Linked DNA regions of Mytilus edulis. The protein of the gene in region 2 purifies or fractionates together with the protein of the main gene of each other region. This does not show direct contact. Links are inferred from orthologs where the notes say so. Each region holds a gene or a part of one and is shown on either strand. Other genes may lie near its edges. The genes, in order: target of rapamycin complex subunit lst8-like and rapamycin-insensitive companion of mTOR-like.

Region 1 (7,985 bases), on a different chromosome or scaffold from region 2:
CTCCATTCAATGAGTTTGAGATCATGACATACCACATAAATAATTTTTAACCATACCAAACATCATAATTATATAAATATACCCTTGTTTTCTGGATGAGGGAATTTTACTATTTGAAACTTGCTTACAACTGGTTTTTAAGTCTTGTAAATGAGTATGCTTTGTATAAATTTTACAAACTCACCAGCTGCAGCAATCAATTGCTTGTCTGGAGTGATTTCCAATGCATTTACTTGCTAGAAAACAAATTAAGGAAAAACACAGGCAGCTCAGAATTGTGCTGAATATATATGGCACATGATATATGATAATTTATCTATCGCTTCGAAAACTAGAGGATGTTTTTTTTCAGCTAAAATCACATAAAAAACCATTTTATTCAACTTTGACATTGTATGGTGTAAATCTTTGTTTATAAGAATACAAAAAATTTAACATAAAAAAATCATAATTGTACATGGTTTTGACAGATTGTTCAGGCAAGCTGTGGAAATAATTTTATTGAATAAGCGACTTCTACTGTGAAGTATTACATATGCATTGTGACATAGAAAATCTACAAGTTAATGCACAATTTGAATGTCATGAATGTTGTTCATGTACTCTGTGACTATTATTGTTGTTGTTACCATGGTTACCAATTATGTCAATCAATTGTACCTGATTTTATGTATACTGATTTTATGCACTTTATGGGCCATGTAATTTAGGAAATAAAAATATTCTATTCTATTTAATATATCTTGCCACCCTTATTAACATGAAAAGGGAAGGTTGAGGTGTGACCTCTATAACACAACTGGAACATAGCGCAGAGGTGATTGACCATTTTGACTACCTATAGTCTATTTGTTTAGACTATGATTCAACATCTAGTCTCTAATGGATGTTGGTTCATTAAATAGATGTTCAATTTGATGACATTATCAGGTTGTCAAATTCTAAATTCCAAATCTATCTAAATTCTAATTTAAAATCAAGGACTTTTTCTATATACATACATGTAGGCCAACCTAATTATGGTCTGTTTTCTGTTTTCAAATTATCTTCTAACCCTCCACTGAATCCTCATGACAATGAATGAAAATTATTTGTAAACAACAGAATAAGATGTTATTGCATAAAAAATTATCCTCAAAATTTAGTTTTCATAATGTTATCATCAATATTTTAATGCAAACAGTTCATGCTAATGTAATAGCTGACTTTTAGGCCTCAAGGAAAACTAAAGTCGCTTTGCTAGGGTTCATGATATTTATTAATCAGTAACGTAAAACACCCTGTAATAACAATGATAAAGTTATACTAATTTTACAGATCAAATAAAAATTAGTAATACACAGAGCTCCAGATAAGAATTCACAAATTGGGTTTTTTACCCACCATTTTCTTATATAATTGGGTGATAAAGTTTTTTAATTGCATTATCAATTCCAATTCACCCCTCATTTTAATATCAAATTGGGTTTTTCAACACCAAGCTTCTTAATGTATTGGGTTTTTTCATCAACACAATATTGAATATTTAGGCAATATCAACCCCAGATTTTTTTCCATCTTAAATATGTTTCTTTCTTTGTTTAGCTGTTTTATTTGGTTTAGGGTTTATAGGGTTATTTGCTAGCTGTTTTATTTGGTTTATTGACTGAGAAGCAATTGTAGGTTTAATTTGTGTTCCATTCCAAACCTTCTGCCAGTTTTGTATTTTCTCATATAAACTGTAAAAAAAACGGATATGTGTATTCACAGGCACTCGTCTTGTACCTTTATGTAATAAATTCTGAGACCAGTGCCTGTGTGTGTATATATTCATTATAAATTAACCGTAAAATGAAAAAAAAATAGTATATAAACTCTAATTATACTTGAATGTTTTTGTTTTATTCCAATTTTCATAAATCTGGGTTTAGTTGTCTTTTATTAGAACTTTTGGTTTCTGATGCTTTATCATGTTATATTAAATTGATTTGGCCTTTCATCTTTCCAACTGATTTCGTTTTTGAGGAAACCCTGCTTTTATTAGAAATGTTCTCGTTAAGGTACGCACACACGCCCGTGTGTTCGATGGACGCTTCCTAAAAACACTGGCTGAGTCTTGTTATCATCATAACTTTCCCTAAGCTTTTCAAAAGAAGCAGAAAATATGCTTCTATTCAATATTTTTACCGGACATTCACTTTTGTTTTAATTCAATGTATGTTATGATAAATCCCGAGCAATGCGAAAAAAATATGACTTCATGACACACGCTTATTGGATAAACGCCGAGAAGATCGAAATGTTTTCAAAAACACGTGTACCTATTGAGCAACGGAAAACTCTAACAGGGACCCATTTCAGCTACTTGATGCAGGGATCTATTTTTAGAACGAAAGGAAATTTCCAATTATAAATATTATAAAAATAGTTTACGCAACAGATAAGGGTAAATAACGCAAATGGTAGCCAATAAAAGGGTTGAGAACTCATGGTTTTGGAATATAATTGGGTTTTCCTTTGAATTAATTGGGTTATTGAACCCTGCAATGGACAATTGCATTGGGTTTTTTATTATTTGTATTGCGTGATCACGCAAATACGCAGCTTATCTGAAGCTCTGAATACACATGATAAGTATAATATTCTTTCATTACACATTTTGAAAATGATGTATTTCATCTGATCATGTGCCATGAACATCACATTAGACATAAATTTTCAAATTAAGAATCTGCTGCAGTAAAAAATGGCACTACATGTATTATCATTTTTACTATTCATACAATTACTCTGCATTAGGTTGTTATAACTTGTGTAAGTGTCCATATTTATGTTTATATTTGGTTATATGACCATTGGAAATCTTCAGAGGTCATCTAAATACTTGATCAGATGGGGTAACTGGTAAATAAATTATAACAGATTTTGTAGATGGATACAGAGTCTGGATGTTGCACAGTTCTCAGACAAATTCCACTGTAAGCCTGCCAAAATCTGACCGTGTGATCATATCCTGCAGTTGCCAGTATAATTGGATCATTATTTGTGTTTGATCCGTTCATTTTAAACCAAAAATAAAAGATGACAACATCTATTATTCAAGAAATCATCTTTTAAAATGTTGTCTCAAGCTGCCTTGCAAAATAAAGTTTAACCGGAAGTAAATAAATACTGTCAAACGCACTTGTTAGAAATATTTTGATTAGCGGTCTGGATTGTCTCGACGACTCTTATTGGTCATCTAATTTAACTAAAAACATGGCTTCCAACTTCAGTGGAGCCCTACAGCTAACAGATTTGAACGATTTTATCACACCTTCACAGGTTAAACATAATAATTTTGTAGTATAAACAGTTCGTTTGTTATGTAGACATGTTATTTTCCTTGATGCTAAAGACTTTTTAATTCTATGTTTCTTTGAGGGGTCAAAATTTAGTACGAATGACTTTTGGTGAAACAAGACATCTCGCCCCACTGCAAAAGCGCCCCATTCTTGTTCACCAACTCGCCCCACTTTTCTATCAAATCGCTCTACTATGGTTACCCCCCCCCCCTTAATATGAGGCAGGCATTACCTGTGAAGTATACATGCATTATTTTTTTAATTCAAACATGTAAAAAAAAAAAAGAGAAACAGAAATACCGTGACGTTTCCAATTTTGGTTTCTGTTATTAGCGATTTTATTTGTGACGTTATTTAAGTTATAACGTCATATTCCATGTTAACAAAGAAACGCTGTCATCATGTAACGTTTTTTCATATAAACAAACAATTTTTTAAAATGAATTAGTATTGAGTTCCTTTCTATATATTTTACTAGACTGATAAATATATATTTTATTCAAAGTCTCATGCAAACAAGACTGCAAAAGGAAGTAGATTTCTGTGCAGATGCGGGGATTAAAAAAAAGTCTGAAAAAAAGGTTAACGATTTCGAGTTCATTAGTAGAATGAAATATTTTAGAAATTTTCCCAATTTTTATTTTTTTTTATTCTTCTACCGTAAAAGGGGACTTTGTCCCCATACAAATGTTGCACAACATAATACCTGCCCTCTCGCCTTATTTTTTGAAAAAGGGTAAAATCATGATAATATAAATTTATAAAATGATAAAGGTCATTTATATTTCGGTCTTGCTGGTCAAAAGTCATTGATGATTTATGATCGTTCATTAGTGGAGTGAATTGGCAGACCTTTGTTCAACAGCAGTTAACCCTTTTCATAAGTGTTGTGAATTGCATCCCTATTAAAGTTAGCATAGATGTAAACAAGTTTTTTATATAGATTAGACTCAGACTGTTGGTTTTCCTGTTTAAATGGTTTTACACTAGTAATTTTGGGGCCCTTTGTAGCTTGTTGTTTGGTGTGAGCCAAGGCTCCCTGTTGAAGGTCGTACGTTGACCTATAATGGTTTACTTTTATAAATTGTTATTTGGATGGAGAGTTGTCTCATTGGCACTCATACCACTGTCTTCCTATATCAAGTTAAATAAGTACAGGATTTTTGCCATTCTAGCTTTATATTTATGCTCTAATATTTTCTATTAGACTTCGTCCTAGGTCAATATAATCTGAACAGGTACATATATACATGATATATAATGTATTGACCTTTTCAAAAGTCCATAATTGATAAATATGTGATGTGATGAAAAAAAATCAATTTCAAATTACTGGTACATGTATATCAATTAAACAGTTGCGTTCATTTATTTTTAATTTAAATTTATGTTTTTACCTCATTTATTCAAGGAATGTATCAAACCAGTTAAAATTGACAGAAAACCTGGTAAAGTTGGTAAAATAAGAATTGAAGATGATGGTTCTTATCTGTCTGTTAATGATGAAGGACAAGAGACCAGACTAGAGAAGGCAAAGATCACATTGAATGACTGTTTGGCTTGTAGTGGGTGTATAACATCAGCAGAGAGTGTACTTATAACTCAACAAAGTCAAGAGGAACTTTATAAAGTACTCAAAGAAAATTTGAGATTGCAGGAGGTAAACATATTATTTTGCCTGAAGCTAATATTTAAAGAAGTTAATACTGCTAATCTAGCTTGTTTTAGTATAAAGATGAATATTTTAGAAGGTAAATGATCTGTATGATTGGTATTTTGAATACAGATGCTTTGTTACCTGAACATTAGGTCAAGGACTACTGATCATTATATACATTTTTTACATATTCAAATTTGTCTAGTCCTTGACCTTGTTTCAATGGATTAATGACAGCACAAAAATCTATCGTTTTTTAGTCTAATTTCCAGTTAATACAAGTAATCTAGGTCATGATATATTGTATGCAGATTTATTTCAAAACACACATGCTGATTAAAGGCTCACCTGTCTACAGCTATATGTAAGTGATCAACATTAAGAGTTCATGATAAGGTCAGTTTCTCAGATACTATAAGTTAACGGTCAATTGTGTGATAGTTTATGGAATGATTGTTTAAACTGTTAAAACACTGTATAACACAAACAATGGGATACATGTATAACTCCAGTCTTTCATATGAGAATCAAAAGTTAGGTTATCTTCTTTTGAAATACTTGTATTTTGAAAAAATAATAAAAGTGTAATGTGCTTAAAATGATTTAATACACATTGCAATATTTGAATTAATATATACCGCGGTAGGTATTATGATGATATATTGCATTTCAAATGTATTATTATTTTTAAGATTATCTCCCTTTAAAACATTTGTATATTTTTGATATTGAAGAAGTGTAAAAAAAAGAGGCTAAAAAATTATTAGCAAGACACATTGCATGCAATATTTCAAGAAAGATTTGATATATTTAGCAGTAAAAATGCCATTTTTACATCATTTGCATATTAAAGAAACTCCATTCTTTCAAAGACAAATCTTTTCTTACCTTAAGATGGCAAATAGTTGTAATTCTTTTTTTATAAGAATCACTGCTAAAAAAAATCATATGTTTTAATGAAACAAATAAAAAATCCACCACTGTGTACTAAAACCAAATTTTATGATTAAGTGTACAGTGTGATCTACATGACTACATGTAGCTATGGGACTGATTTCTGATTTGTGCAGACATTTATCTCTATCCAAAAACATCACTAGTTTTTGCTTTTACACGTTGGTGATTATATGATATTTGTATGACATCTTTATTTTAGACTGGACAAGCTGAGCAGCAGAAGTTAGTAGTTGTGTCAATAGCTCCCCAGTGTAGAGCCTCATTAGCTGCCAAGTATAAACTATCTGTACAAGAAACTGCTGCCAAACTGACAGGATTCTTCAAGAAAATAGGTAATTATCTATAAATTATAAATCTTTTTCTTCACAAGAAAAAATGAATTGAGACAAGCAAATTTAACAAAGGACAGCTCCAAACCCTTGTTTGGTAATGAAATTTTAGGAATATAATAATATGATTAAAATTCCCAAAACAAATTTGAATTTAGTACCCAATAACATGATGCAAGTTTTAATGGGTTTTGCTAAAATAAATACCATACAAGTGTCCAAATTTTATTTAGGGGTCATTTGAAATAAAACAATTCTCTTTACAACAGGTGGGTTTTGCAACTGTACACTTAGTTGAACAATATTTAGGCAATGAATGATTATCTGCTAGGAAAGTTTAATAAAATTGAAAACATGCATTCAGAGTAGTCTGTTTATTCCAGCACATGTACACAGAAATTATCAACTTGTTCAACAAAGAAAAAAATATGGTTTTGTGTACAACATTGTGTATGCTGCAAATGTGTTAATTTTCAATGTTTTGTTAATTTATATTTTCAGGTGTACATTATGTTTTTGATACCACATTTTCCAGGAACTTCAGTTTGTTAGAGAGTTGCAGAGAATTTGTACAAAGATATAAGGAATCAGAAACAAACAAAACAGCTTTACCAATGTTGTCATCAGCTTGTCCAGGTTTATATCATCTAAGTTAAAATTCAAAATAAGACACAATGTATATTATCATCGATTAATAGTAAGATTCACCAGTGGTATCATTTGGCTCACCGGTGTACACATTATGTCATCATGAAAAAATAGTATATTATACTTTCATATCATTAAAAAATATATTGAAAATTAAATATAACATTCCATTTAGAATGTCTTATCAATGATACCAACTACAATCATTGACAATACTAACAGACGAATACTGCTGTCCATTGTTAATAATCAGATTATCCATAAGGATGGGAAGAATGACATGTTCTTTAAACAACATGTAAATTTTAATAGTACATTTTCATGTACAATTTATATGAAATTATAAATATATTTTTGTGAAAACTTCAGGTTGGATTTGCTATGCAGAGAAAACACATGGACATTACATCCTACCCTACATTAGTACAACTAAATCTCCTCAGCAGATAATGGGTTCTCTAGTCAAGGATTACATGGCAACCAGTAGAGGGGTACCAGCCAACCTGATCTATCATGTGACAGTCATGCCATGCTTTGATAAGAAACTAGAAGCATCAAGATCAGATTTCTACAATGACATCTATAGTACAAGAGATGTAGATTGTGTCATAACCTCAGGTAATGTTCGCTACTTAGTAGTATTTACCTTTCCCATTTTATGTACAAGTATAATATTCTTTAAATATCACCTTTATAGACTCAACCAATGGGTATGACTAGTAAAACTTAAATGTAGGCATTGCAGGCGGTACAGTGATATATTATTGTTAACCTCTGTGTCATTTTTTATCTGGTTGAGAGTTATACATTTCTGCAGGTACATATAAATTTGAGACAAGAAGAATCATGATTGAAATTCAGATGAAGTACGAAAACATATATAAAAATCTTCTTTTTTATTTTAAACTGAACAGAAAGATGTGTAAAACTTTACCGGAATTTTTTTAAAAAGAAACTACATGATGTGTTTTTGTACTTTACCTGAATTTCTATCATGCATGATTTTTCAATGGAAATTGTGACATCACAATGCATTCTTAGTACCACAAGGATATAACTTCAATCATGCAC
Region 2 (7,239 bases):
TACCCATTAATAAAATAAACAAATGCTTTCTTCAAGTTATTTGCAGGACTTTGAATCACAATCACAAGTATGACAAGACTGTTGATTAGTAATGGCCTCAGTCTACCTATATATATGTACAAAAAAACACTACATTTGTACATTTGTAATTCTTGGGTATATTAGATGCAGAATCATAGCTAGGGTAAATTTGAAAACAGAATAAATTTTTCCTTGGAAGTATACAATCGTTCAGTGTTTTAATTTACAGACTTAATCTGAATGATCAATTATCTGCTAATAGCCTTGGAGGCCATGTGGTCTTACATGTTTAACCCCGCCACATTCTGAATGTATGTGCCTGTCCTAAGTCTAGAGCCTGTAATTCAGTGGTTGTCGTTTGTTTATGTGTTACATATTTGTTTTTTGTTTATTTTTTGTACATAAATAAGGCTGTTAGTTTTCTCGTTAGAATTGTTTTACATTGTCATTTCAGGGCCTTTATAGCTGACTATGCAGTATGGGCTTTGCTCATTGTTGAAGGCTGTAAGGTGACCTATAGTTGTTAATTTTGGTGTCTTTTGGTCTCTTGTGGAGAGTAGTCACATTGGCAATCATACCACATCTTCTTTTTTATAAGTAGTTCATCTTCTGTATCAATAGCATTTCAACACTGAGGTTGTGACTTCAACTCCAATCTTTCTTCACCAGGATTGCTAGCTTCATCTCAATTGGCTTAAACCGACAGTAATAACTTGCCAATAATGCTGTAAGTTGCATTAAACATTGTTAAACAGTAAAAATAAATGTGTTATCTATTTGAGTTTAGATATCTAGTAAGTGATGTTTTCTAGTGTCAATAGTTCAAATTGTATTGTCAACCTGGTACATGTATGTAATAAGGAAACATATTTTTTTACATGATAAACATGTGTACCTGTATATATATATATTTTCCAATTATTGATAATATCCAGAAATATTTAATCTATTTGATAGAAAAAATTATTCAAAAGAACAGTTCGTCGATGTTTATGATCTTATATCATGTATATATTTAAAGACTTTCTTGCAGAATAAAACAGATCCTGTGAGTCACAGTAGAAATCATAGCTGTTATCTGTATGGTCTGACATGATGGTGAAAGTCAGTTTGTAGCCTTTCAACTTAATTTTGTAAATATCAAAATAACCCAATGAAATTTGGTTTTTTAAACAGTCATCTACAATTAGAGCAATATAAAACCAAACATTTGATTGTATGTTCTTGCACGCCTGAGAAAATAGTATTTCATTTTTTTTGTTTATATTAAACAACAAATGAATACAAGGGGAACAACCAGAGTTTTTCTTTAACATTTTCTTGTACTAAGAGGAATAATTCAATGTCTATTAAGTATAGTCTGTTTCATCAATCATCAAACAAATACCGAAATCATTTTCTCTGTAATGTTTTAGACCACTGCAAAAAATCTGTCTTGTCAAATTTGTTTGGTGAATTGATATATATATTTTGAAATTTTAAATTTAAAAAAAATGGGGGGGGGGGGGGGGGGATTTTTCTTATTTTTAGGGGGGTCATACTATTTACTTCGAATAATTAAAATTTCAATTTAAAACAAAAACAAAATAATTGGGGGGGGTTCTCATATATCTAAGCACTTGAAAACCAATTAATTAAAGAAAGATTTGCATTCATCACAGCTTTCACTAGTGGCAGGTAGAAAGGCCAGTTTATTCAATTTTTAATCAGATAAATGTGTTCAACAAGCATTTTAATTTATATTTCTGATTTTCATTCAAACTAACATCAAAGTCCCTTAATACAAACAAATTGGTTGACGCAAATTACCTAGGGAAACTCCCTTGGATACTGTGGATTCATTTTTATTCGTTGGATACCAATTTTCGTGGGTTTCGTGGGTACAGATGAACCACAAATTCATATGTTCAGCGAATAACATATTTTCAATAGGCTTTATATACAGAGATTGGCAAAACCATGAAATTATATATCCACGAAAATGAAAGTTTTCAGCAATCCACCAAAATTGATACCAATGAAAATAAATGAATCCACAGTATGCATAAAAAAGAAAACCAACCAATTGAAATATATTCTGAACTGTACATCAAATTGACAAAATGACTAAAATGATTTTATTTTCTGAATTTGTTTACTTCAATATTTAACATATATCTAGTGACAATAGTTCAAGCGGGACAGATTCTCGGGTCAGCCGGGATAGGGCTCTTCAAGGTTAGTTCGGCCATATTGGATAGGGGGCAGATTTTTTTAGAAAGATGTGAAAATAGTATGAAAGTATGGGAAATCCTATGTGTGTTTCCAAGCAAGAGTGCATGTGGGGATAGGAGAGGTCCTGATCCTGAAATCCCAGACTTTAAATCCTGACGTCCCAAAAATCCACAAAAAAGAATTCCCGGTTCACATAAGGGTCAATCCTGAAATCCCAAGCTTAAAAGACCTGATTCCGTAGTCCCGATAAAGGTCCTATCCCCCCTCAAGCAACTGCTCTGTTTATATGATGTTTTCTTGTATTTTTCACACCATTTTTACCTCCATTATGAAAATCTGCCCCCTATCAAATATGGTTGAACTAACCGTGAAGAGCCCTATTAGCGATAAGGTGTATACACAAACTCTACACAAGCTTCCGAAATTTTCATTTATGAATGCACTGCCAAAGTTTACCTGAGGTCATTTTGGGGAAACTCGGCATATGACATGTGGTGTAAAGATATTTGCTTCATATGTCAATTTTTCCAGGGGAAATATGCACCAAATGGTACATTTAGATGATGGATACTGTAATAGGCCTGTTATGTCCTGTCTGTAGACAGGTCTGACAGGCAGATCTGCACAATTCAAATTCACAGTAAATCAAATCTTATAAAATGACAGTAGTTGTGCAATGTTTTTCAACTGTGAGAATATTTGTTTCCCCATAGCAAGTTGTTTTTGTTGTAATTATAAAGTTGACATTTCATAAATAACAAACCTTTGGTAAAGTCCAATCGAAAAACTTCATCGCCACTGTCATTTCGAGCTGAAATGAAAGAAAAAAGTACATAGTTACAAAGTTAAGGATATAATTGAGATATGTAATGTAAATAGGATTTCATGAAAGATTTACATACATTTAAAACGCCCTGTTTTGTGTGACCGTATGCCCTGGCGAGCCCCAACGGCCGCCATATTTTTACTTCCTATTTTTACGGCTAGTCGTAAAATTATTCGATAGCAAGATACAAGGCAACTAAATTGTAAAATAATCTTTGTTCTCTTCAGATTTTAATACCAATTTGAAAATAATTTATTTATTGAAGTAAATCAAAACTACTTTGTTTACATCTTGTCTAATTTACGACAAGCAAAAGCTACTTTGACCATGGCCGACACAGGTGCCCCTAAAATTTCACAACACGAATTTACAAAGATTGCTGACAAATTATTAGGGTCGGAAGGTCCAGTGTTTGATAAGGATGGAAACTTTTACATGGTTGCTCCTGAGGTTGAAAAAGATGGTGCATTTGCAGGACAGATTTTAAAAGTTGATCTTTCAACTTGTAAAGTATGTTTTTGAAGCGTTTTCATTTAAACATGTACCTGAAAACCCCCCAGATATAAGGTGTGATGATTTTTTTTGGGTCGACCTGATACGCCAACATGGTAACTCTACTAGTCTGACGCCCAATTGGTCTGTCACCCCTTAGCTCCGACACCCTATATACTGGGTTAACCCCATTCCGGTGGTCAAAATGTTAATCATTATTCCAAACGCATTTTTCGAACTAAACGGAACAAATATGATTGAAATAAATAAAATTCAGTTATTTAGCTCTTCAATGATGCATAATATGTTACCCATTTGTCAAGTTTTATCAGTTTAATAAATGATTGAAAATCGGTGATCACCACCCATCATTGTTTTTGCTATTAACCTCTTTCCGGTGCAAAGGTAAAATATAGTATGGAGGACAACTTGGAACACTAATGCACCTTATTTTGTGCATCAAATAACGCTAATATTCTAGTAAGAAGTACAGATCAGCAAAACACGATTTTATTTAGGACAAATACACAAATTATTTTTGACAAGATGAAAAATGTTGAAAAGTCCAATATATGCAAGATTTTTTTTCTAAATTTATATAAAAAAAAAAAATTCTCATTCAAATTTTTGTTTTACTTTCACTCTTTTGTGGAAATTATTTTAATAATTCTATTTTGATGTCAATAGTGGGAAAAAAATATTTCACAAAGTTTCACTTTTTGAAAATCTACTTTAACTGAATAAATAGAAAAATTACATTAATATTAAACAGTTCTTTTAAATCTATTGTTTGTTGTTTTTTTTTAAATCAGAATAACAGTTTTTGGAATAGTGTTCTGTATATTGGACAGTTTACTGTTCTTTACAGTGTGGACAAAAGAAAGTATCCCCTCTCCGCAAGACTCTAACATCACTACAGAATTGGAGATGTGTCCAGTGACGGCAGTTATCATTGTCACATTGTGCCCATTTGACAAACACAATTCCTGCTAGTTGTCTGATCTCTGAGGGAGATTTCTTATTACAAACACAGCAAGTTTCACCGTCGTCATCATCGGTTTCATCACTGTCACTAAATGAATTCTCAAGACATATTGGTCCTCCTTTATCCTTGTTTAAACCAGATGTACCAAGACCTGCATTAACATCATCCTCTGATAATCTAATTTTTTTTTCAATTTTTTCCATCACAGTTGAACTTTTTCTTTTTACAGGTGCCTTCTTTTTGGTATCTTTTCCTGCTTTGTTTTGATTTCTAGTTTCCTTTTCAACTGTCTTAGGCTCTGCTTTTTTATAGGGTGGTTTAAAAGTTCCTTTCTTTTTTGACTGATTCAGATGATCCATATTTTTCTTTTTTCCTAAATTTCCTGTGATTGTGAAGTGTTTCCTTTTCTTTTCTGTCTTTTCAACTGAAACAACATTTCTTTTTAGCAGGAATCCGGATGGAGAACTGTTTACTGTACATGTGGTTATATTCGAAGAGTTGTTTGATGTGTTCAATTCAATTATTGGTTCTGCGGTATATATTTGAATGTCATCAGAGTACCTGCTTTCAGGAGGAACTAGAGTAAGCAACGGTTGACTATTTGATTCATCTTGATCTGATGAGATATCTTGTTCCTTTTGGGCTGATGATGAAGCTTCAAATTGTTGTATCGTCAGAGTGGCAGCTTTGTTGAATTGCTGAGAGGAAGTGTTGTCATCTTCTTGTGAAATTTGTGTATTATTCATTGTACTTGCTTCATCTGATGTAGCTGTGGGGTAAATTGTAGCTGGAGCAAGTTCGCTGGTGTCAACAGCTTTTGGGTTAAAAGGATATATCCCACTTTTCCTAAAAGATGATATCAAGTTCTGTGCAGATAGACCTTTCTGGTAGGGAGAACAAGACATTTGTCCTATGTTATACCTTGTAATTTTACATCCTGGATTTTTTCTCATAAACAACTGTGCCTCCCGGTTGTAACAAGCCTTTAATGGTCCAAAACACCCTATATCTAATGGCTGTAAAATGTGGCTACAGTGTGGTGGAAGTATGAAAAGAATGATGTTCTTTGATTCAGCCCAATCTTGCAAAGTTAAGCTCACATGTGAGCGGTGGCCATCAAACAATATAAGAAGAGGAGTGCCAGAGACATCATGTGATACATACTTGAGAAAATGCTTTTCCAGGTACATTTTGAATATTTCACTGTTAGACCATCCAGATTTACTGCATTGGCCATCAGAACCAGGTGGAGTCCCATCAAGAAGTAGAGCCCTGTCAAATTTAACACCCGGAAATACATAATAAGGTGGAACAGCATTTCCAATTGCATTGCCAGCACCAATTATAGTGACATTTGCAGATCTTGGCGATGTGACAGACTGGGGCTTAACAACAATGTCATGAACAATTTTACCTGGGCTATGTTCAGTTTGTAGAGCACTCTCATCCATATTAAATATTTTGTGTGGCTGTTCATGCAGATTGTTTTTGGTCATAATAGTGCCCAACTCTTTGTAATAGTTAGATAGTGTCTCCTTTGATGCACATCTAGCTCTCTGCATGGATAATTTCTGTGGTTTACTAATAGTTAGATTTGGCCATCTTTTCATAAAAGAGTAATACCATTTGTTGCTCAATATATCCTCTTGAGGTTTTCTCTTGCCCATAAACACAGCTAAATCAGTTGCTAGATAAATGACATCTATTCTTGAATAACCATAACCAATGCTGGCCATATGTGCAATGTGGTCCACCATTTTTTTCTCTGTAGACTCATCAAAAAGGTAATTGGAGCATCTCCCATCCACAGAAACCAAACCAAGTGTCCTATCTCTAAGCGTGCTTTCTGGAATACCATAGTTTTTTGCAGCTTTGTAAACAGACATTCCATTTTGTACAGCATCATAGGCAAATTTTAACGCATTTGGATCATACTGCTTTTTCTTCATTGTAAAAATATCTGTAATAAAAATGAATAGACATAAACATTTACAAAAGATCAGTAAAATCTTAAATTCAGTTTGAAAAAAATATTTTCATCCCCCCCCCCCCCCTTTATACCTTCAATTAATTATAAAGCACATTTCTTTTAATAATTATTGTGCAAGCATTTTGTCCTTTAATCACAGTAATATGTTCTTCATATTCATATTTATTAATTTTTATTAAATTCAATCAACATAAATAGTTTCATAAACATAAAAACGAGATTAATAACTTTTTTCTAAAATAAACTGTAAAAGTGTTCATTTTTGTTAATCAGGCTTTCCATAGATTTTTCAGAGTCATATCGAGGCTGTATCATCACGTGACTGTTGTTTGGGACGCCTTGCAAATGGCAGACGAGAAATCAATAACAATAAATCGATTTGGGATGATTATTCAATATTTTTAGATGGCTTGATATTTTATGGCATATGCATGAATTTGGGAATTATGGAAATCATACTATCGTGCGCTAATATATATATATTTACCTGTAATGAAGACTGTTTGACGTATTTACATTTCTTGATGACAGCGATGCACCAGTTGTCTGTAACCTGTAACCCCTGACCCTTGCACGCGCTTTTAGTTCAACAAATACCCGCAATTTAACATTACACCGGAATCAGGGATACACCGGAATGAGGAGAAGGCAGTATACACTGATCGCTATTTGTCCGCCATTACTGGACATCACACAGGTTCCAGTAAAATT

Evidence for each region.
Region 1: the proteins of rapamycin-insensitive companion of mTOR-like (region 2) and target of rapamycin complex subunit lst8-like purify together in Homo sapiens (affinity purification with western blotting; 14 studies listed by BioGRID and IntAct, with this or other methods). This does not show direct contact. The link is inferred for Mytilus edulis from reciprocal best matches to the Homo sapiens genes RICTOR and MLST8.

The regions. Positions count from the first base shown.
Region 1 is NC_092352.1:37,093,467-37,101,451, forward strand, and holds the start of target of rapamycin complex subunit lst8-like, read right to left. Parts: upstream 3,157-7,985; 5' UTR 3,042-3,156; coding exon 2,919-3,041; intron 237-2,918; coding exon 185-236; intron 1-184. Other genes in the region: cytosolic Fe-S cluster assembly factor narfl-like, read left to right, coding at 3,238-3,303, 4,735-4,983, 6,137-6,269, 6,768-6,902, 7,284-7,532.
Region 2 is NC_092344.1:106,558,903-106,566,141, reverse strand, and holds the start of rapamycin-insensitive companion of mTOR-like, read right to left. Parts: upstream 3,215-7,239; 5' UTR 3,196-3,214; coding exon 3,138-3,195; intron 3,047-3,137; coding exon 2,999-3,046; intron 1-2,998. Other genes in the region: diisopropyl-fluorophosphatase-like, read left to right, coding at 3,389-3,571. UniProt on the Homo sapiens protein: Component of the mechanistic target of rapamycin complex 2 (mTORC2), which transduces signals from growth factors to pathways involved in proliferation, cytoskeletal organization, lipogenesis and anabolic output.